Linked DNA regions of Arabidopsis thaliana. The protein of the gene in region 1 interacts with the protein of each later gene in a pairwise test. Each region holds a gene or a part of one and is shown in the gene's direction. Other genes may lie near its edges. The genes, in order: CNGC9, ABCG10, AT3G03210 and KCO1.

Region 1 (7,209 bases):
TTGAATCAGAGATTCCTGTGTTCTCAGTGAAACTGAAGCAATATATACTGAAATAGTTGTGCTTATAATTCTTGTTGATTCTCCCATAGATGACAGTAGATCATCTGGTTATATTTATGCAGAATTGAAGGCTCTTATTCTAGTTGGAGGATTCGGAACCAGATTGAGGCCACTTACCTTGAGCATGCCTAAACCACTTGTTGATTTTGGAAACAAACCCATGATTTTGCATCAGGTAGGTTAGCTTCTTCTTCTTCTTTTGTATTTGCTCAAGTTTTCACAGTTTCTTTTGTTCTCATTATGATGCATTCGCAGATTGAAGCTCTAAAAGGTGCTGGAGTGACTGAAGTTGTATTAGCTATCAATCACCAACAACCAGAGGTACATACATTCATTGTCCTTAATAACGATACGATAACAATTGAAATTCTTCCGTGTCATCCTCCTTCTCCTTGTGTGTTTGGTATTACTCAGGTCATGTTGAACTTTGTGAAAGAATATGAGAAGAAGCTAGAGATTAAGATTACATTTTCCCAAGAAACTGAACCGCTTGGAACAGCAGGGCCTCTCGCGCTGGCTCGGGATAAGCTGGTCGATGAATCAGGCCAACCCTTTTTTGTACTAAACAGCGATGTTATCTGTGAATACCCATTGCTTGAGATGATCGAGTTTCACAAGACTAACCGTGCTGAAGCATCAATCATGGTGACCGAGGTAGTCAAACAGGAGCATTTTCTGCATTTTGTGAAGTTTATCTTTCATCTGTTAATAGCATTTTCTGATATTAACAGGTTGATGATCCTTCTAAGTATGGTGTGGTGGTTACAGAGGAAGGTACAGCGAGAGTTGAAAGTTTTGTCGAGAAACCGAAACATTTTGTGGGGAACAAGATCAACGCTGGGATATACCTCTTGAGCCCATCTGTTCTTGACAGGATTGAGCTGAGAAGGACTTCGATAGAGAAAGAGATATTCCCTAAGATAGCTTCAGAGAAGAAGCTTTACGCGATGGTACTACCTGGTTTTTGGATGGACATTGGTCAACCGAAAGATTACATAACCGGGCAAAGAATGTACCTTAACTCTCTAAGAGAGAAAACTCCGCAAGAACTGGCCACAGGGGATAACATAATCGGGAATGTTCTCGTGCACGAAAGTGCGGTTATAGGAGAAGGTTGCTTGATAGGACCTGATGTGGTGATTGGTCCGGGATGTGTGATTGATTCAGGTGTAAGATTGTTTGGTTGTACTGTAATGCGCGGTGTGTGGATCAAGGAACATGCGTGTATCTCTAATAGTATCGTGGGATGGGATTCAACCGTTGGAAGGTGGGCTCGAGTTTTTAATATAACGGTTCTTGGCAAAGATGTTAACGTCGCCGATGCAGAGGTTTACAACAGTGGGGTTGTTATCGAAGAGCAAGGTCTGTGAAACCAGAGCCTAGACCTAGATTAGTTAGTTCCACTGTTTCCAGAGTCTTATGAACCGCAATATTCTTACAATTTAAAACAGATACAAACTCTATGGTAAACCATATCATAAACCGGTTAAAAATGGTATTCGACACCAATAGAGAAAAACGTTTTTCAGATCCATCCCTAAGCAAGTTGTGTATATTTCTTTCGTAAATGTTTTGAGACATTCTTATAAGGGACATATAAATTATTGTAGATAAAGCCTATGTTTCTTAAACACGAAACTGTGATTTATTAATAGACTATAGTTTGGTGTATGTAATTAACGTTGAGAAAAATGAAAGACGTGACGGCAGAGAGAGAGAGAGTGGACCCGACCCGGACGGCACGGAGACACTTTCAGTTTCTTCTTCTTCTCTTCTGTCTTTGTGATATTTCTCTCAAAATCAATATTTTTTCATCTGTGAAACGACTTCGTCTCCTCCCACTCCATTGTCACTTTCTTCTTCACCCTTCTCTCGTCTCCGTCTGATTTGGCGTGTAACTTCTTTCTACCGTAATTCTCCTTCGTCTTCTTCTCTGGTATATCTCTTGCATTCCCTCCTAATTTCTTAGCCAATTACTGTTTGGAATGATCTTCATTTTGTACTTCCCATTGCTTGATTTTGGTTGACACCTTTCTCGTTTAAGATCGTCTCGTTTTCATGCTGAAAACTCAAGTATTTAGTTTTTTCGTTTGTACCCTTTTGTTGATGTTTTGGTTTGGGGAGAAAATGTGGTTCCTTTCAAGTTTTTTCCGTCAATTTGAGTTCTCAGGTCAACGAAAATGGATGGATGTTCTTAACCCATTAACCAAGTTTGATTTTTAGAGAGATTCTGTAAACAAACAATAACATTTTTTGTGCTTGAATTATTTTTATATTTATTGCAAGTTTAGGATTTTGCTGCTTGAAATGATTTTGATCATAAATGTTTATTACATTTTCTTATGTGTGTAAAAACAGGTTTGGGATTCATGAGTTGAGTCACAAGGAAAAAGCATGTTAGACTGTGGCAAAAAAGCAGTCAAATCACAAGTAATCAGTGGCCGTCTCGAGAAGTTTGTAAGGTAACTCTCATTATTGTATATAGTTGATCGAAATTTAACATGATGATATCATTCTAGCAGATTCAGATATTGTTTAGCCAAAAAGGACATTCCTTTACTTCAGGTTTGAAACTAAATGGATATCTTTAGTTTATTTTGTTCTTCACAGGTTGGATAGTATGGATTCTAGGTACTCGCAGACTTCTGATACTGGTCTAAACAGATGCACTCTCAATTTACAAGGACCAACACGTGGTGGTGGTGCTCAGGGAAACAATGTATCTTCTGGTTCCTTTAAGAAAGGGTTTAGAAAAGGTTCTAAAGGTCTTTGGTCTATAGGAAGATCAATTGGTTTAGGGGTTTCACGAGCAGTTTTTCCTGAAGATCTTAAAGTATCAGAGAAGAAGATTTTTGATCCACAGGACAAGTTTCTTTTGCTCTGTAACAAACTGTTTGTTACTTCTTGCATTCTCGCTGTGTCTGTGGATCCGCTCTTCTTGTATCTTCCGTTTGTTAAGGATAATGAGAAATGTATCGGTATAGACCGGAAGTTGGCTATTATAGCAACAACGCTGCGGACAGTAATTGATGCGTTTTATCTTTTTCACATGGCTCTTCGGTTTAGAACAGCTTTTGTCGCCCCTTCTTCTCGGGTTTTTGGTCGAGGCGAACTTGTGATTGACCCTGCACAGATAGCAAAACGTTATTTGCAGCAGTATTTCATCATTGACTTTCTCTCTGTGCTTCCACTTCCACAGGTAATAACAGAAATGCCTCTCCCAGTGTTCTCTTATCTTCCATTGTTTCTTTGTTCTCTAAATTTTTATGACTAGTTTATGTTATTCTTTGGATTTTTCAGATTGTAGTTTGGAGATTTCTTTACATCTCTAAAGGTGCAAGTGTGCTAGCAACAAAGCGGGCATTGCGATCTATCATTTTAGTTCAATATATTCCAAGATTCATTCGGTTGTATCCTTTGAGCTCAGAGTTAAAGAGAACAGCTGGTGTTTTTGCTGAAACTGCTTGGGCTGGTGCAGCTTATTACTTGCTACTCTACATGCTCGCAAGCCATGTCAGTACATACTATCTTTGGTAGCTTTCCTCTTATATTCTCAAAAGATCCATTCATCACTCTCTCTTTTTTCCCTTATGTTTTTATCAGATTGTTGGGGCTATATGGTACTTATTGGCCTTGGAACGTTATAATGGATGCTGGACCAAGGTTTGCAGTAATAGCAGCTTGGACTGTCACAGAAACTTCCTGTTTTGTGGTAATGAAAAAATGGATGGTTATGCAGCTTGGACTACCATCAAAGATTCTGTTCTGCAATTAAATTGCCCAGTTAATACAACCGATAATCCTCCTTTTGATTTTGGGATCTACTTAAGAGCCTTGTCCTCTGGCATTGTCTCATCTAAGAGCTTTGTCTCTAAGTACTTCTTCTGTTTATGGTGGGGACTTCAGAATCTCAGGTACGTAATTCTAAAGAATCCGTCTTCTATAGTCATTATGAAAAGTCTCTGTTGCATTAGTAACTTTGTCGATGTCAAATGCAGCACTCTTGGTCAAGGGCTTGAAACCAGCACATACCCTGGAGAAGTTATATTCTCCATAGCACTTGCCATTGCTGGACTTCTTCTCTTTGCTCTTCTTATTGGAAACATGCAGACTTATCTTCAATCCCTTACAATCCGGCTTGAAGAAATGAGAGTGAAAAGACGTGATTCAGAACAGTGGATGCATCATCGAATGCTTCCACCGGAACTGCGAGAACGAGTCAGACGATATGACCAGTACAAATGGTTGGAGACACGCGGAGTTGATGAAGAGAATTTGGTTCAGAACCTCCCAAAGGATCTGAGAAGAGATATCAAACGCCATCTCTGTCTGGCTTTGGTTCGGAGGGTAAGTTGAATCTTACTTTAAAAGCCTTTTTCTAATCTTGATTCATAAATGAAACCATCTTGTTCTATTTTTCTTATGGAAAGGTTCCATTGTTTGAGAATATGGATGAGAGGCTGCTCGATGCAATCTGTGAGCGGTTGAAGCCGTGTCTGTACACAGAGAGCTCTTATTTGGTTCGGGAAGGCGACCCGGTTAACGAGATGCTCTTCATTATCCGTGGTCGGCTTGAGAGTGTGACCACCGATGGCGGAAGAAGCGGTTTCTTCAACCGCAGTTTGCTTAAAGAAGGAGATTTCTGTGGGGAAGAGCTTTTGACATGGGCACTTGATCCCAAATCTGGTTCCAACCTACCATCCTCTACCAGAACCGCAAAGGCTCTAACTGAAGTAGAGGCTTTTGCTTTGATAGCAGATGAGCTCAAATTTGTGGCTAGCCAGTTCAGAAGACTACACAGCAGGCAAGTTCAACACACATTCAGATTCTACTCGCAACAATGGAGAACTTGGGCTGCTATCTTCATACAAGCCGCGTGGCGACGATACGTGAAGAAGAAGAAACTTGAGCAACTCAGGAAAGAAGAAGAAGAAGGAGAAGGATCAGTTACTAGCATCAGAGCGACGTTCCTGGCTTCAAAGTTTGCTGCAAATGCACTTCGTAAAGTTCACAAGAACCGTATTGAAGCAAAGTCTACTATAGAACTTGTGAAATATCAGAAGCCTTCAGAACCTGATTTCTCTGCTGATGATACTAGTTGACCAAATTTTACCAGAAAAGTGCTAATGTCTATGAACGCTTATAACTTGTATAACTCGGATTGAATTTTATTGTTTGATTTGTGTTGCTACATTAAGATAAAGAAAAAGGTGGTAACATAAAAGATTATTTGTGATTGTGATTTGTTTTATATGTGTTTCTTTCTGTTTCCTGAAGATAAAATATGAAAGATACTGCAGGTTTATTGAGAGATGACATAGTTTTTGATAAGTTCATACAGAGATAACATAGTCTCGGATCATCAACCTTTCAGGAAGTTTTTGCAGAGCTTCTGCCATAGAATCCTGTCTGGTTGCGCAGTCTCCATCGTACTCTTTGCCTTATCCGCAAACTCTTGCTGAAAAAAATCAATCACATTGCAATTCTTGATAAGGCTAACTACATTGAGAACAAGAACACTCCGAAATGTTTATCTAGCAAAAATAGAGATCATAGAGAAGGAGAACAAACCTCCATCAGCTTCATATTAAGGACTCGGTCCACAATCTCAAACAGAATCTCTTTGTTATACTCTGGATGCCCTTGAATACAGAAAAAATGATCTCCAATAGAGAACATCTCGACGTTACATACCTCAGAAGAAGCAAGTAGTGTAGCAGACTCAGGAAGTTCCAACACTTCATCCTGATGACATTTTATAATAGCTAAAGATGCTGGGACCTCAACGTCTCCAAAGTAACCTCGTAGTTTTTCATTGTCTTTCGCTATGGTTATGCTTCTAAGTCCCATATCTGCACCTTTGAGTGCTCTTCCTATCTTCCCACCTTTAACTCTAGTAATTATCTATAGCCAAAAGAACAGAGACACAATCCAGAACAAAGCAAACGTTCATCAACAAACACTCTCTCCATCAATAAACCAACAATATAAAGATATCAATCTAACTATAATGGCATTGGAACAACTCGAGTCTGATCTAAAAATTGAAATGAGCTAAATGTGAGTCAATCTAAACCCTAAGATTCCAACCGATCAGATCCAAATCAGAAATTGAGCAAAACTGAATTGAAAGGAACCTGGTGGCCGAAGCAGATGCCGAGAACTTTCTTCTTCATGTGATCAAGTTTCTGACAAACTTCGCAAAGCTTAACAATCCAATCGGCGTCTCCGAAAGCATCATGTGGACTACCACTGATAACGAAACCGTCGTACTTGTCTAAATCATTCTCGTCGGGAAATTGTCCGTCGATGACTCGGAATAGATCCCATTGCTCACCTTCTTCGCCGAAAGTTGAAACGAAGACATTGAAGTAACCACCGTAAGTCTTCTTCACGAACTCTGAATCACACGTCGCTAAAAACAAAGCAAACCTCTTCTTCTGCTCAATAACCACCATCTTCTTCTTCTTTCGTCTCAGAGATCACACCGATGAAGCAAAAGGAGAGATAGAGATTCGGAGAATGGAAATGTGTAAGTTAGAGACGACGACGGGGAACAAGATCAGACACGCCAAGTGAGATTTTTGTTAAATAAAGAAAACAGAAAAAAAATAGTCAAAAATTAGTTGAAAAAAAAAGAATCACACATCGAGATTAGCTGTCTATAAGATGACAACTCCACCTAATAATTTATCTAAGTTTAGAATCACATTTATTTGTTTACCGTAGCTCGATTTTACGTGTATTTTTTGAAGATCAAATAATCTATTTATACACGTAACCTATACCCACTTATAAATGACTAAATTAAAATTACAAATACCAGTCTTCTTCTTTTTGTTTATCGGTAATTTATTATTATTATTTCTTATAGCAGTCGGTAATTTAGTTAAAAGCGAAGATATGTTACATTATGTGATGACCATGACCATATAATAGTTATGAAATTACACAAACGTAGTAGAATTTATTTAGACCATGAACGTGGAAACTAAACCAATTAGTGGGTTCTTCGTCCTTTCAGAAAATTCTTGCAAAGCATGTGCAAACGCTGCGTGTCTGGTTCAAACTTCTTGATCGAATCCTTTGCTTTCTCCAAAATTTCCTCCTACATATTTTTTAGTTTAAAAAATCGTTTTAGAGATTCCT
Region 2 (5,246 bases), on another chromosome or scaffold:
CAGAAACGAGAGAACGTGAACGATTCAACAACGAAGACGCAGATCGAGAAACAGTAGGGGAATTGGCGAGAGGAGATGACGAAGAGAAGGAACGAGTGAACAGTGAGGAAAAGGATTTAGCTGGCCGGTGAAGGATGGAACGAGAAATCGCCATTGGAAGATGATAAAAATGGAGAGGTTTTAGTGAAAATGGAAAAACCCCAAGCATAAATGGGTTTAGATGGATCTTTCAAATTTCAAGGATATTATGTAAAACTAAAAATTGTAGTACATATCATTACTATTTTACATTATTTTCAAAATCGTCCCATTGTTATTTCAATTGACATGAGAAACCCATTTGTCACGAAATCATCATAAACAACCATATGTTGAATTCTTCTCTTTCGTCGAGGTTAGTAGAGAACATATCTGGTTGCTCAGTGGGAGTGACATTAAAAACGTCGTCTATGTATTGTAGATTAGGTATTTCAATGATACCTAGTTGAGGATCTCTCAAATAGCTTATAATCTTTGGTAGGACAAGATCCTCCATATTCGTATGCAAATGGACATTGGCAAAGTTATGTGGTAGCTCATATTCCCGTTCTGCTAAGGCCATCTTTTTGTGCTCTTCAGAGCAATACCGAGATTCAGGTGCGTAGACACATGTACAAGACCAGTACGCGAAGGCCTTATCTTTATGCACATAATGCATAACACGAAGATTGGCAACACCCATTGCAGAAACCTGCTAATACACATTGTTAGGTCTAGAGAAAAAAACTCTCTCTCGCAACTTTGAAGATTTTGTTTGCTCTTTGGATTGTCGAGATTGTTTCATTTCGTGTTTTTATATTATTTTTTACTTTTAGTTTTGGATTTGAATCTTAGGTTTAAAAAAGAAAAAGAAAAATTGTGATCAAAACGACATGGTTTGATTGAAGATGATGCTAATTCATTAAACATGGGTCATTTGAGTCGACGTATGTTAGTATTAACTAACATTTGTTATTGCAGATCCTAAAATACGTGCGACCTATAAAGTTTGGATATAATTTTTTTTTTTTTATGAATTTGGGTAAAGAATTAACATTGTACAGTATGTTTTATATAAGAAAACAATACTTTGCAAATTGTACTGGTATAAAAATATCGTTTTTCCAGTCACCCGCTTACGTTTGGTCCAAGTTGTTTTTAATTTTATACCGAATTAAAGTTTATTAGTCACAACTTTAAGTGTTTTTTCCAAACCCAAATCAAAATTCGATTTTTTTCGTCACAACTTTGAATCAGCCCCTTCACCTTTGCAGCCACATCTAACCGAATGCCCACCTAGACAACATCTTATAATGCGTCTTTTTATTATTATTATCCAAAAATAATTAAATTAGTGAGGTTTCTTACGTGATTATTCCTTGTTAATTAAACATCTGAATTTCCGTAAGCGAGTTCGAAACACGTAATTAAATATTGTAGGTAATATATAACAACCAAACTGGGTTTCCTCTCTTTCTTTGTTAGAAAAAACTAATAAATTAGATAAAACAAGTTCACCAACAAGGCAAACATTTCACGGTCAATTTTTCAGCTCACCCGAATTTGAGAATCTCTAGACGAAACCAAATCTCTTTCTAACTAATTCTTTTTTTGCTTTTCTTGTACCTCTTCACAATTTCAAAACCCAATTAAAAAAAAAAAAAAAAAAGAACCAACTACATATCTTAATTTCTTAGATATTTTTTTTGGTCAACCAATTTCATTAGAAATTAAAAAATACAAGAAAAACAACAAATGTTTAATTTCATATAAATTTATCTAACTGTATCAATATTATTTACGAACAAATTCTTTATTAAGAAAAACAAATTAAGCATTTTAAGCTTGGAATCATAAATATCTTTGGTTTAATTTAGTCATAGTCAAGTGCTTTTCGGTTTTCATGGAAGGCAATAAGAGAAAGCTAATAAAGTCTTGAAGCTTTTGAATGTTTGAATAATAAAGGAGAGGTTCCTTAAAGTTTGGTGTGTTAGTTCATCTTCTCTACCATTTATTCTTCACTTAATCTCACACTCTTTGCTCAATTTGTTGATTTCTCTATCTCTCAAAGTTTGATGCTTTCTTTTTCCTTCTTTCTTTCTTAGATGGAATTGCCGGTAAAAGCTCCTATTCCCGGTGGCCGGGAAATCTCATATAGATTAGAAACCAAGAATCTGTCGTATAGAATAGGCGGAAACACTCCAAAGTTTTCTAATTTATGTGGTTTGTTGAGTGAGAAGGAGGAAAAGGTTATCTTAAAGGATGTTTCTTGTGATGCAAGATCCGCGGAGATCACTGCGATCGCGGGTCCAAGCGGAGCAGGGAAAACCACGTTGCTGGAGATTCTAGCCGGAAAAGTTTCTCATGGGAAAGTTTCAGGGCAAGTGCTTGTCAACGGTAGGCCTATGGATGGTCCTGAGTACAGGAGGGTTTCAGGGTTTGTGCCACAAGAAGATGCTCTGTTTCCGTTTCTTACGGTGCAAGAAACACTGACGTACAGCGCACTCTTGAGGCTGAAGACAAAGAGGAAAGACGCGGCTGCAAAGGTGAAGAGGCTGATTCAAGAGCTTGGTCTAGAACATGTTGCGGATTCAAGGATCGGTCAAGGATCAAGATCTGGAATCTCTGGAGGAGAGAGAAGAAGGGTTTCTATTGGAGTTGAACTTGTTCATGATCCAAATGTTATATTGATCGATGAGCCAACCTCTGGTTTGGATTCTGCGTCCGCTCTTCAAGTTGTGACGCTTCTCAAAGATATGACGATTAAACAAGGTAAAACCATTGTTCTGACGATTCACCAGCCTGGTTTTCGCATACTCGAGCAGATAGACCGGATAGTGTTGCTCTCTAACGGGATGGTTGTTCAAAACGGATCAGTTTATAGCCTTCATCAGAAGATTAAGTTCTCCGGTCACCAGATTCCTAGGCGGGTAAATGTCTTGGAGTATGCAATTGATATTGCAGGGAGTCTTGAACCGATCAGAACCCAGAGTTGCAGAGAAATCTCATGTTATGGTCATAGCAAAACATGGAAGAGTTGCTATATTAGTGCAGGAGGAGAGCTTCATCAATCTGATTCTCACAGCAACTCAGTGTTAGAGGAAGTGCAGATACTCGGGCAAAGATCTTGCAAGAACATCTTCAGAACCAAGCAATTGTTCACAACCAGAGCCTTACAAGCTTCCATTGCCGGTCTTATACTGGGGTCGATTTACTTGAACGTAGGAAATCAAAAGAAAGAAGCGAAAGTCTTGCGAACCGGGTTCTTCGCCTTTATCCTCACTTTCCTGCTATCTTCCACAACAGAGGGACTTCCAATTTTCTTGCAAGACAGGAGAATCCTAATGAGAGAGACATCGAGAAGGGCTTACAGAGTTTTGTCTTACGTTTTAGCAGATACTCTCATATTCATTCCCTTCTTGTTGATCATAAGCATGCTCTTTGCTACGCCGGTTTATTGGCTGGTCGGTCTCAGAAGAGAGCTAGACGGCTTCCTCTACTTCTCATTGGTGATATGGATTGTTCTTCTGATGTCAAACTCTTTTGTCGCATGTTTCAGTGCTCTTGTCCCAAACTTCATAATGGGGACATCAGTAATCTCAGGTCTCATGGGATCTTTCTTCCTCTTCTCCGGGTATTTCATTGCAAAGGACAGGATCCCCGTTTACTGGGAGTTCATGCATTATCTCAGCCTCTTCAAGTATCCATTCGAATGCCTGATGATCAACGAGTATCGAGGAGACGTGTTCTTAAAACAACAAGACCTCAAAGAGTCTCAGAAATGGAGCAATCTTGGTATCATGGCAAGTTTCATCGTCGGGTACAGAGTCCTTGGATTCTTCATCTTATGGTACAGATGTTACAGAACAAGAAGCTAGGTTAATAACAATGATCTGCAGATATAATTCAATTTGTTTTGTAATTTTATAAGAAATTTTACTTTCTCATATTCTTTCTTTTTGTTCAGCACTTTCTTATATTCTAAAATTCGCAATGTAAAGTAACAAAAAAACTTTCTGATAAAAACAGAGTAAACTCGTTTATTTATAAGACAGTTTTAAGCATCACACTTAGTACAAAGCTCACCACAACAACGGTACACTCATTGATCGTTTGATACTAAAGCCTTTTTCTTATTAAAGTCACTCTTACCTAAGATACTCATGAGTTTACACAAGTGTTGCCTTTGAGAGCTGAAGTCCTTTCTCGCGCCCGTAAAACTTCTCTACAATTGCAAGTGCAAACTCCAATGAGGTTCCTGGACCCCTGCTCGTTATGAGATTGCCGTCCACCAAGACTCGATGCTCGATGTGACTCTGGTCCGTCAGTTTGCTGCACATTGCTGGAAACGCTGTTGCCTTCTTACCCTGTAAAAAAATCCATTAAAAATTGTGACCCTTCCCTTAGTTTTAAGTGCAAAAATAACGGTTTGATAACAGAATACTCCATGCCATCGGATATATAGTAATGATCCTACACATCTAAGCAAATGTGTGTGCTATTGTGATTACTCTCGTACCTTGAGTAAACCATGTGGCTCAAACACCAGAGCAGGAGAGGCACAAATTGCTCCATATGGTTTGTTTGATTCCGCCTGCTTCTTTAACATATTCACTAGCTTCTCCGAACTTGCAAATGCTTCAGCACCGCCGAGACCACCCTGATAATAAAAAGAGAAGTTCATCATGTTGGCCTCAACTTGCTTGACACTATAAACTTTAGTAATTTGAAGAAGTTAGCACTCACAGGCAACACAATCAGATCGTACGAATTCTTTTCAGCCTCGTCGAGAAGCACATCTGCCACCAGCTTGACTTTCCGAGATGCTACCACTTCCAAACTGTTACCAAGCGCAGCTACGACAACATTTGCTTTTGCCCGCTTCAGGACATCAATGATAGCAACAGCTTCCATTTCCTCCGAGCCATCTGCAATGGGTACAAGAATCTGAAAAGGAAAAACATGATCTCTCAGTGTACGGAAGATTGATTAAGAAAGACGCATGAGCTCAGTAAAGCAAGTGTGAAAAGTTTTGCCAGTCTTTTTTTTCTTTTCATTTTGCCAGACAGGCAATTGAAAGCTACCTGTGGGGTACCCTCGAATGACCAGCTGACTTGGTTAAGCTCAGTAATAGTATACTCATCACCAGGGTTGGGACGCATCACCTGATATGCAAAGGGGAAGAATAGAGACTAAGAGGTTACCATGGAATAAAGCCTATGCTACCA
Region 3 (5,119 bases), on another chromosome or scaffold:
AGTTCCTCGTCTGTTGGATGGAATCGGAAACCTGGAGGTAACGAGACAGGAGCCATATATATAATCTCAAGTTGTTCTTGAAGTTATTTTGTTTGAATCAATTTCAAAGAAAGAAAGAGAGAGAATCGAGACTCGAGAGGAAGAAGAAGAGATTATAGAATAGGTATATGTTTTGTGTTCGTTGAGGGCTTGGAGAGCAAGGTTATATATAAAGAGGTAATGAAAAAGGGAGATGCAAAAGTGAATAAAGGGAAGGTCCCCATCCCAAAATAACATATAATGTTAAAAAAATTCAAAATTTAATTAATATTTACAATTCATCAATTTCTGTCCGACGCATATATAATATTGTTCGAAGTGTTTTTTTTATATTGATAGATAATTAAAATGCTAACAAATAACATGATCACGTGTAGATTCTGGTACTTAACCGGAATAATTAATCAAAAATTGCCGCCCTAAATGTAAACCGTGTTTCTTCATCAATTATATTATCCCATGCTTCTCCGAGAGTGGTCGGTCTGGAATATATGTGCACTTGTCAGATTTCTATTGGTTGCATGGGAGATCGAATCTTGGGTTAACCCAAAACTGTTGCAATCTCTCTTTCTTTTTTTTCTTTTTTTTTTTTGTTATTTGGCGGCACTTCTAACTGAAATAACTGTCTCTTTTGTACCCACTTGCATGCGAATCCTTTGTTTCCCTTCACATTGCCATCCGATCTACGTACATAGATCTTTTTTAAAAATAGATATCTTGATGTTGTAAATTTATACTAGTAGTGTTTTACATTTTATTTTGTCATTTATATATGTCTATTTCTGTTTCTCATATTCATATTGTATATCGTATATCGAATAGAAAGATGAACTCCATTTTATGGTCGTTCCATCAGTTAATGCTCATATATTTTCTAGTGTATTAGGCTGTTAATGTAAGGTTGTGTGATTCGGGAAAAAAAATTGAAATTTCGGAGATTTTGAAACAAAAATTAAAAAATTGAGTGGCCAGAAATCCTTTCCTCTCCATATTTAGTGTCGTCATATAAAATACCAAAACTTTTGTTCCAATATAGAAAAACTATTGACCGAAAGTCCAATTACGTACTCCAAAGACTTATGGATATAAGAAATTATAGTTTGAGTATTTATCATTTTGGTCGAAACTCGAAAGCTATATATAATCATATGAACATACAGTCACATTTGGTGTAGGCGACTATAAAACTTATCTAAAGTTGATTTATCAAAAAAAAACTTATCTAAAATTTGGAAAAATGAAATCGATCAGATATATATATATATATATATATATATATATAAAATTTGAACAAGCATATGGTTTTGAGATGGTTATATGTATGATCATGTGGGATCCAGCAGTTGTGAACATGTGAATAAATCCTTGGAAGCTATTGATGGGCCAACCCAAGAGAATCACTTCTCAGCCTTTCTCATCATCGTCATAACCTTTTTCTCTCATTATTCCAAATTCCATATTCTCTTTCTTCTTTGTATCACCATATATATACACATATATATATATCTTTAATATATCTACAATGTGTACATAGTACATACCCTTCTTGAGACATTTCCCTCACATGAATCCATCTTTTGGTTCTTTACTTAATTCTTTTTAACGTTCACACACATTCTATAAACTAATAACATATTAGTCCTATGATTAGCCCCACCATTAGATTGGGTCATTGCCTCATTGGCAAAAATATATAAATTTGGTTAGAATGAGAAAGTAATAAATTAAAAGTTAATATGTAAAAATCGGTTGAAACTATTATGAAATTTCGGAGTCTACAAGATCCCCAAGACTTAAGACCGTGAAGAAAAATCACGAAATTACATGTAACTTTAGCTATAAAAAAAGAAGTCTAAATGATTATAATGATTTTTTCTCCATTTATTATATGATGAAAACGCGGATCTACAGAATTTAATGTCATTCCAAGATGAAATCGTACGTATGAAAATACACATAAGGAAAGTGTCATTGATTTGTTGAACGATGTGGGCTAAATGGGCTTTCCCGTGGGCCGAGTAACTTATGATCAATCTACAAGCGGTCACGTGAATAAATGGGCTTGACCGTGGGCCGAGGAACTTATGATTAATCTAAAAGCGGTCACGTGATTCCCAGCGGTGAGCGCACGTTAGAATAGTTCCCAGTTCCATAATGAGGCTAAAGTGAGCCGAACCATGTCTGAGAGTCAGAGAGATGAGATCATAAATTAATGGAGATCTTACAAATATGGAAAATTTTAAATACAAAAAATCGAACCAAAGAAGAAGAAGCCTACGGTTGTTCTGTTCCTTTCAATCTCACCAAATTTTCATCTTCACCTTCAATTTTGATAGATTCTCTTCACCGAACCAAATCCGTAACCCTAGCTTCTTCTTAAATTATAGAGAAAAAGAGTTAATTCGAATCTGGATGAAATTGGTTTTGTCTAGATGGAAATCTAGATGTGTCTGATTCCGAAATCTGAGTCTGAGAGATGCTAGGAGCGATTCATTTGGGAGTATTAGCAGCTTGTTTCGTCCTCTTCGTTCCCATGGCAATGGCTGGTTGGCATCTGAGCAGGAACAAGATGCTCTTCTTTAGTGGCGCTTTGTTTATTTCTCTCGCGGTTTGTGTTCATCTCACGCCTTATTTCCCTTCCGTTTCCGACATCGTTGCCTCTGTTTCCTCTGTTGTTGTCTACGATCATCGTATCTCTTGTATCAACGAGGTTAATCAGATTGTCTGGGATGTTAAACCGGTACCGAATCCGGAGTCTGTTCGTAGGAACAATGGCTCAACAAAGCTTGATTATTTCGTGAAGAACTGGGATTGGATGAAATCGAGGAAAGTTTTGAGTTGTGAGTTTCAGAAATTGGATAAGTTCGATGTTTCGGATTTGTTGAATGGATCGTGGGTTGTTGTTGCTGGTGATTCTCAGGCGAGATTCGTGGCTTTGTCTTTGTTGAATCTTGTTTTGGGTTCGGATTCCAAGGCTATGGATTCGGTTAGAGGGGATTTGTTTAGGAGACATAGTGATTACAGCATTGTGGTTAAGGAGATTGGGATGAAGCTTGATTTTGTTTGGGCTCCTTATGAGAAAGATTTGGATGATCTTGTGGTATCTTATAAGAAGATGAAAAAGTATCCTGATGTTGTGATCATGGGAACTGGGTTATGGCATATGCTTCATGTGAACAATGCTTCAGATTTTGGTTTTAGGTTGAGGCAATTGAGTAGTCATGTGGAGTCTCTAGTGCCCCTTACGCCAAAGGAGCAAGAAGGAGGTGGGTCGGTCTCCGGTAGATCTGTGCATCTGTTCTGGATTGGGATGCCGGTTTTGATCAACGGGATGTTGAATACGGATGAGAAGAAGGAGAAGATGAGTGATACGGTGTGGCATGAGTATGATAGATCACTCGGGGAGAGTAAGATCTTACGTCAAATGGGTGGTCCTCTTATCTTGCTTGATATCCAGTCGTTTACCTGGAACTGTGGACCGCAATGTACACTTGACGGGATGCATTATGACTCTGCGGTCTATGATGCCGCTGTCCATGTCATGCTCAATGCGTTGCTTATTGAATCTCATCAATCTTTATGAGTTCTTGACACGTTTTTTTTTTGTTTTTTTTCCTTTTATTTTGTTTGGGGTTCTCTTGTAGAGTTTTAAGAGAAGTGGGATGTTCATAGGAATTTTACAACACACGGTGATCCTTTTGGCCTGAGTGATCTTCACATTGGAGAAGTAAGTGAACTTACATTCATGGCTATAATAGGTTTAATATCTTTTGACTTTGAGAAGTTATAACCTTTAGCTATTCTGATTCTTGTTATATCACAGTACCCTTTTGGATTCTTTTTACGATAAGACTCAGTACTCATCATTAGCTTTAAGCACTTGAAGGAAGCTTTCGCTCCTTAGTAATGTAAACAAATAGATACAATAGTGATGTTTGTGTGATCACTGTTCTTAGTACATTGGTGAGTTTTTGTACCTATGCGTGGGAGAGAGAGAACTATGAAATGCAAAAGTCTGACCCAAGTTCTTTCCTTTTCAACCCTAAAGATAACCTTAGACCAAGATCGATATACTTGCCATCAAAAAATTCTGACCCGGAAAAAAAGAATCATGGGATTGTATCTCAATGTGTCCGTCTCTGTCTCACGGAGTCTCGAATTGTTTCCCTTCGAAGGTCTGTCCATAATTCCAGTTTTTCGGGGAGACATTGTAAGATGTCACGGTTGACCTGTCACTAGAAGTTACTTCAAATGAGAGAGCTTGGTTCCTGAGATCAGCATTAATATGCCAATTTTGTCCCCAATTACGACCCATAGGTAACCACCCGGTTCTCGACCCTTTGATCTTCACAGCAGCTATATCACCGGACCCTGCAACATTGGTGATCAAAACCGAAATGAAAATGCCTCCACCATCGACTGTAAACCGCATGCTCCCTTCCTTTCTACAGTTGATCCTGTTTTGGTAAAAGCCAACAAAAATGGTTGTAAGTCATAACTCATAACTTAAGTGATATGCAACTAACTATTTATAGGCTCAGCTCCAAAACACTTCACAAACTAATAAAGGATCTAATGATCCATTGTATCATGAACCTAAATAGTAGTTTACCGCATTGTGCCTAGAACTTCACAGAAACAGTCAATTTCAGTCCTCTCATGGCTAAGATGAAAATGAGAGCAAAGCTACTCAACTATGATGAGCAAACCTATCTACCATTTCTCAGAATCTTGTACACACTAAGATAAAACGATTAGGGGCAATAAAGTAAATTGCATATTGAGGAAGAGATTTAGGGTAAACCCATCTCACATAATAAAGCACACGGATATCGAAGAAGACACAAAAGCAAAAGCATCGCCGGATTTTTTAAATCGATAGTGGCGTCTAAAAGCAGAACCGCGTTCCCCACCACCGCAAACGCATTTTTTTAACAAAACGCGAAACAAATTGGGAAAAAGCGGAGAGAAACGCACCTTCGATACTGCACCGGCATGTTCCCAGCTTTCCAAATAGCGATCTTCTCAAACGCTTCGATCGGAAGCACGAAATGTTTGTTAGGTGGATTACAATGACCAC
Region 4 (5,298 bases), on another chromosome or scaffold:
CATGGTTTTCAACACCCTGAAAAAGTAAACCGGTAAAATTCATCGTGGGAGTCAAAATTGGTAGAGTTTAACATGCTTATTATTAATTTGCACACCCATTTCTGTTGTATGAGTGTAATCCACACACAAAAAAATTGTTTAGCAAATTGTTACACAAAACAGAGCTTAGGTAATAAGAAAATTAGCAAATTGTTACAGAAAATATATTCTCCTAAGTTGTCTAGCCTCTAGTATCCCGATACCATACAATCCACAAAACAGAGGATGGAATAAAGTGAGAGAGGAAGGAACAGAACAATACATAAGAAATAAAAAGCAACATAAAAGATTGGGTGTTCTTGTTAGTTAATTAGAAGAATGTTAAATTGTCATTATAAAATATTTTTTAAAGAATGTTAAATTTCTAGAAAACTTATCTTTGTGGGATGAAGAGAATATTATTTTCTTTTAAAAAAAGTTTTGTATTGTTAAATCTAAACATATACATCAAACTTTAAAAATCAAAGCAAAAAAAGAATATCTCTCCTTTTGCATGCTTTTGACATATTGAATTTAATAGGTAATTTTCTTAATTAAGATGTTAAACTTATGGATTCATGATTTGAACAAAACTGAAAAAAGTATATGGAAGCGTTGGTGAGATTCATACCTATCAAAATGAACAAAAGGATCACCAACCGAATAGTAAAACCAACTACTGTATTTATCATGGCCATTTTTCTTCTTCTTTCTTAATTTCTCTCTTTATTAAAAATTTGTTAATTATATCATAATCTTAACTGTTTTATATAAAAAGTGTTTTTTCCTAGAATATACAAGGTATTCCGCAAAAAATGCCAATAAAAATGGTTTTAAATTAAAAAGAAAGACCAAAACTCATATAACCTCAAAAACATAGTATGTTATTTTTAGTTAATATAAATATTAAATACTTTCACCTACTTTCTCCTTGCACACCACAACTGTTTTATACTTGTCCCCACCTAAGATAATGAGTGCATGAATGCATGAACCATCATTGGCCGATGCGTTTCCTGGTGCATGTAGCTCACAGCCGTCGTTCTCACATTTTGTTATTTATGATCATACTTTTTTTTCATTAAAAGGAAAAAGGTTTACTGGTTTGGTTTAGAACAAGAACTACTCGTTATAATCATACTTTTGTTTAATTAAAAAAACAAAAACAAATAATTTCTAGTACATCTTATATTACATACTATAGTTTGATGATAAAAATAAAATTCAAATGACGATTATCATGTCGAAAAGACAAATAATAATTGTCTTACTGACCTACCTGCCTGCCTCTATATATATACTAGTCTTTGGTCGCCTTTACTATAACCAAACATCGAGCTTGCCTTAGAGTTTGTCTCAAGCTTCTCCTTTTTTGGTATTTTGTCTTAAGCTTCCTTGCTTCTCTTTCTTCTTCTTCTCTACTCTTTCTCTCTATTTCAAACCTTCGTTTTCTTTCCTTTTTTGTATAAAATCTTAAAATCAACCAAGACAATGGAAATGAAATTGCTCTTTACATCGGCTTTCACCCAAATGTTCGGCTACTCGAACCATATGGATCAAGCCAGCAACTGCCAAAGCACCCGCAACAAAATTATAAAGATGATGAAGAAAGAAGAATTCCCAAGTGGATTCCAAGTCCCTCTTCACTACCCTAAATACTCCAAGTCTGATTACGAAGTTATGGATGATCTCCGCCTTGACTTGCTCCTCAAACAATATGGATTCTCCTTTGAAGGATCTCTTGAAGACAAGAGGGTTTTTGCAATTGAATCATTTCTCTGGCCTGATCAGCTTTAGATGGTCTATGTTGGTGTTGAATGATCTTATATCGCTCTCCACATGCATATCAATGAGCCTATACTCGAGTGGTTGAATGTTTTTAAAATTATGTCAAATTACCATGTATATCAATCACTTAGTAATGTTTTAGAACTATGTCAAATACTAGTGTGTGTTATATTTCTTTGTGTGTGGGGATGTTTTGAAGTATGCAATTCTTCACATATATATGTATCATATGAGTGCATTAATAACATCTTTGATGTCATGTATAACACTAAAAAAATGTGATTTATCGACTTATAAAAATCTTAACATATTGACATTAACATAAAACATATAGATTATTGTATGATATAGATTAAACATGACGTCATGCTGGATATTTTGGCTTATTGGCTTGTACATTACTTGTGATTATGAGTGTATAATATAAAACTAATTACTAGATTTGCACAAAAAAAAAACAGAAGGATAGAAAACTAACTAGAAAATTAAGACATTACATACATTCTTCTATATGAAAAAAAACATTTAAAAAACAAAACAAAACATTTTTATACTAAGATACTAATGAAAAATCCTATCAAGAAAATGAAGAAGATCATAAAAACAAAATTATCGGATTTGAAGAGAATAAATTTTGACCAAAAAAAAAGAAGATAATTAAAATAAAATAAAAACAAGAATTGGCCAACTGTGAGAACATCATCAATGAAGACCAATTGCGAGATCCGACAACACCGCTTCTTTTGATTTCGATCTTACTTTCCTGGGTATGTCTCAATTCTTCTTCCTCCTTCAGTTCGTGTTCTGTGTCTGATTGATTACTCTCACAAAACTCATCTTTTCATTGTCTAAAGGTCTAATCTTTAGCTATAACTCAAAATCTGTATCTAAGTTCTGACAAGTTTCTGTTACGAAATTCAAATTTTTTGATACATATGTTCATTTCTCAGAACAGGAGATGTCAATTTTGGCGATGGTTTTCGTAACATAAACATGAGATTTGATTGTTCTGTGCAGATCTCATAGTTAATCTGGTTTGAGTCTAGAAATGTCGAGTGATGCAGCTCGTACGCCATTGTTACCCACTGAGAAGATAGATACCATGGCTCAAGATTTCAACCTGAACTCAAGAACTTCTTCTTCAAGAAAACGAAGATTGCGTCGCTCTAGAAGTGCTCCTCGTGGTGATTGTATGTACAATGATGATGTCAAAATCGACGAACCACCTCCTCATCCGAGTAAAATCCCAATGTTCAGTGATCTAAACCCGAATCTCAGGCGAGTGATCATGTTCTTGGCTTTATATCTTACCATTGGTACGCTCTGTTTCTACCTCGTGAGAGACCAGATCTCCGGTCATAAAACCAGTGGTGTGGTAGATGCTCTCTATTTCTGTATAGTAACGATGACAACTGTTGGATACGGTGACCTTGTCCCTAATAGTTCCGCCTCAAGGCTACTTGCTTGTGCCTTCGTCTTCTCGGGAATGGTCCTCGTTGGTCACCTCTTAAGTCGAGCGGCGGATTATCTAGTGGAGAAACAAGAGGCTTTGCTCGTTAGGGCTTTCCATTTGCGTCAAAGCTTTGGTCCAACAGACATTCTCAAGGAGTTGCATACTAACAAGTTGAGATACAAATGCTATGCTACATGCCTTGTCCTTGTAGTCCTCTTCATTGTTGGCACGATTTTCCTTGTAATGGTTGAGAAAATGCCGGTTATCTCAGCTTTCTACTGCGTCTGCTCCACGGTTACAACATTGGGTTATGGAGATAAGAGCTTTAACTCGGAAGCCGGACGCCTTTTTGCTGTGTTTTGGATCTTGACGAGCAGCATATGTTTGGCTCAGTTTTTCCTTTATGTAGCTGAGCTAAATACAGAAAACAAACAGAGGGCGTTGGTGAAATGGGTTTTAACGCGAAGAATCACAAACAATGATCTCGAAGCAGCTGATCTCGATGAAGATGGAGTTGTTGGGTAAGAAAGACATCAGACATATTCTATCTTCTGTTTCCTTCTTCCTCTTCTTATTCTTTTTTTTTTGTCTATTGTGTGTTGCAGAGCTGCAGAGTTTATTGTGTATAAACTGAAAGAAATGGGTAAGATTGATGAGAAAGATATTTCTGGGATAATGGATGAGTTCGAGCAACTTGATTACGATGAATCAGGAACTCTCACGACTTCTGACATCGTTTTAGCTCAGACCACGTCTCAGATTCAAAGGTAAGCCTCATCATCATCATCATCTTGCGAAGACGAATCAGAATCTTTGTTTAGTTATACCTTCACACAACAAAAAGCCGAAGAGAGTGAACAGTTTTTCGAAATTTTGTTTGTTTTTTCCTGTTTGTGTTTGTAATGTAATGCCACACTCTAACTCTTTGATCGTTTCTTGATGCTGAGTGTATAATTTTACATACATCTATACATATGAAGCTCTCTAGTGTTATGCTCCATGACCAAGAATTCATGGATGATTCTCTCAAAGGACAGGGTATGAAGACTGTTTTATTGCTTTAAACTTTTTTGGTATTTTGATTGATACAAAACATTTTCAAAAGATAGCGGTTTCTCGCGTTATGGAAGTCGTCGTTTCTCGAACTGAGATTCATGGCAATGAGGGTCAAGCCAGTCTCTTGAAACACCTTTTCCCATATTAGTTCCTTTCTCTGCACCTGCACCCCCGCCTACAAGCTCTCTTAAGTTAGCCATTTTGTTTTCTCGACCAGAGCCGCTCATTTTCTGATCTGCTTCCTTGAGCATCTGCTTAAACCGCTGCTTGCGGCTCGATGTGTTACTACCACCATCTTGTAGCTGCGAAGGAGGAGCTCCATGTGGTCCTAAGTAGATGTTTTCTTCAGCTTTACTCTACAAAATCATACAATGAGAGATAAAGAGTTAACAACATTTTTTTGAAACTTGTCTTGTACGTAAGAAATCAATCACTAACCTTAGGAGAAGAAGGTTTTGATGTTTCAACTTCTGAATCATTATTATTATTAACCTTGTCTTCTTCAATCTCCAAGCTCGGAATCACAAACCCATCAGTGTCTGCCACCAATCAAATGATCGACTCAAGATTTGTAATTACACAAGAAGATACAGAAATTTGAATGATTGAATCCGATCACATAAACACGAAAGAACCCTAATTTCAATAAAGAAATGCAACTGAATCGATTAAAGCGAAATTACTTACCCCATTCATCATTGTCTTCTACCTTGGGAAGATTCGTCTGCATTACAGATGTATCCATTGAAGACTAACGTTCATGGACACTCTCCGAAGGACCAACAGTTTACAAAAAATAATTTCTCAGCTCTTTGGCTTTTGAATGTGAATTTATGTATCAATTTTACAATAATTCGATTATTTTTCACCTGATTGATTTTTCGCGAAACCCTAAATGTTAGAGCTTGGGAAAAGGGGGAAACAGATAAATAATGATGGTGTTGAGGCGAATCGGATCGGATCCGGATTCGATTGTTTGCGAT

Evidence for each region.
Region 2: the proteins of CNGC9 (region 1) and ABCG10 interact in a protein complementation assay, tested with the Arabidopsis thaliana proteins (one large-scale study listed by BioGRID).
Region 3: the proteins of CNGC9 (region 1) and AT3G03210 interact in a protein complementation assay, tested with the Arabidopsis thaliana proteins (one large-scale study listed by BioGRID).
Region 4: the proteins of CNGC9 (region 1) and KCO1 interact in a protein complementation assay, tested with the Arabidopsis thaliana proteins (one large-scale study listed by BioGRID).

Annotation. Positions count from the first base shown.
Region 1 is NC_003075.7:14,924,927-14,932,135, reverse strand, and holds CNGC9 (cyclic nucleotide gated channel 9), read left to right. Parts: upstream 1-1,780; 5' UTR 1,781-1,996; exon of another isoform or gene 1,997-2,133; intron 2,134-2,418; 5' UTR 2,419-2,454; coding exon 2,455-2,522; exon of another isoform or gene 2,523-2,670; coding exon 2,671-3,259; intron 3,260-3,360; coding exon 3,361-3,573; intron 3,574-3,663; coding exon 3,664-3,974; intron 3,975-4,058; coding exon 4,059-4,407; intron 4,408-4,490; coding exon 4,491-5,162; 3' UTR 5,163-5,302; downstream 5,303-7,209. Other genes in the region: AT4G30570 (Glucose-1-phosphate adenylyltransferase family protein), read left to right, coding at 185-235, 316-381, 475-714, 792-1,430; GGP3 (Class I glutamine amidotransferase-like superfamily protein), read right to left, coding at 5,423-5,518, 5,632-5,964, 6,198-6,518; AT4G30540 (Class I glutamine amidotransferase-like superfamily protein), read right to left, coding at 7,061-7,168. UniProt on the Arabidopsis thaliana protein: Putative cyclic nucleotide-gated ion channel.
Region 2 is NC_003070.9:19,860,755-19,866,000, forward strand, and holds ABCG10 (ABC-2 type transporter family protein), read left to right. Parts: upstream 1-2,066; 5' UTR 2,067-2,123; coding exon 2,124-3,896; downstream 3,897-5,246. Other genes in the region: AT1G53265 (uncharacterized protein), read right to left, coding at 344-721; DJ1B (Class I glutamine amidotransferase-like superfamily protein), read right to left, coding at 4,188-4,385, 4,538-4,678, 4,765-4,965, 5,103-5,183.
Region 3 is NC_003074.8:738,472-743,590, forward strand, and holds AT3G03210 (Pmr5/Cas1p GDSL/SGNH-like acyl-esterase family protein), read left to right. Parts: upstream 1-2,232; 5' UTR 2,233-2,515; coding exon 2,516-3,622; 3' UTR 3,623-3,838; downstream 3,839-5,119. Other genes in the region: NAC045 (NAC domain containing protein 45), read right to left, coding at 1-56; EXPA13 (expansin A13), read right to left, coding at 4,184-4,496, 5,017-5,119. UniProt on the Arabidopsis thaliana protein: Component of the plant cell wall polysaccharide acetylation pathway. Does not directly catalyze O-acetylation of xyloglucan but exhibits weak acetylesterase activity in vitro.
Region 4 is NC_003076.8:22,528,864-22,534,161, forward strand, and holds KCO1 (Outward rectifying potassium channel protein), read left to right. Parts: upstream 1-2,494; 5' UTR 2,495-2,573; exon of another isoform or gene 2,574-2,823; 5' UTR 2,824-2,854; coding exon 2,855-3,780; intron 3,781-3,864; coding exon 3,865-4,030; 3' UTR 4,031-4,259; downstream 4,260-5,298. Other genes in the region: AT5G55620 (uncharacterized protein), read left to right, coding at 1,510-1,815; AT5G55640 (Na-translocating NADH-quinone reductase subunit A), read right to left, coding at 4,381-4,671, 4,754-4,854, 5,003-5,060. UniProt on the Arabidopsis thaliana protein: Voltage-independent, large conductance and potassium-selective tonoplast ion channel. Regulated by cytoplasmic calcium and pH. Does not mediate slow-vacuolar (SV) ionic currents, but essential to establish VK currents.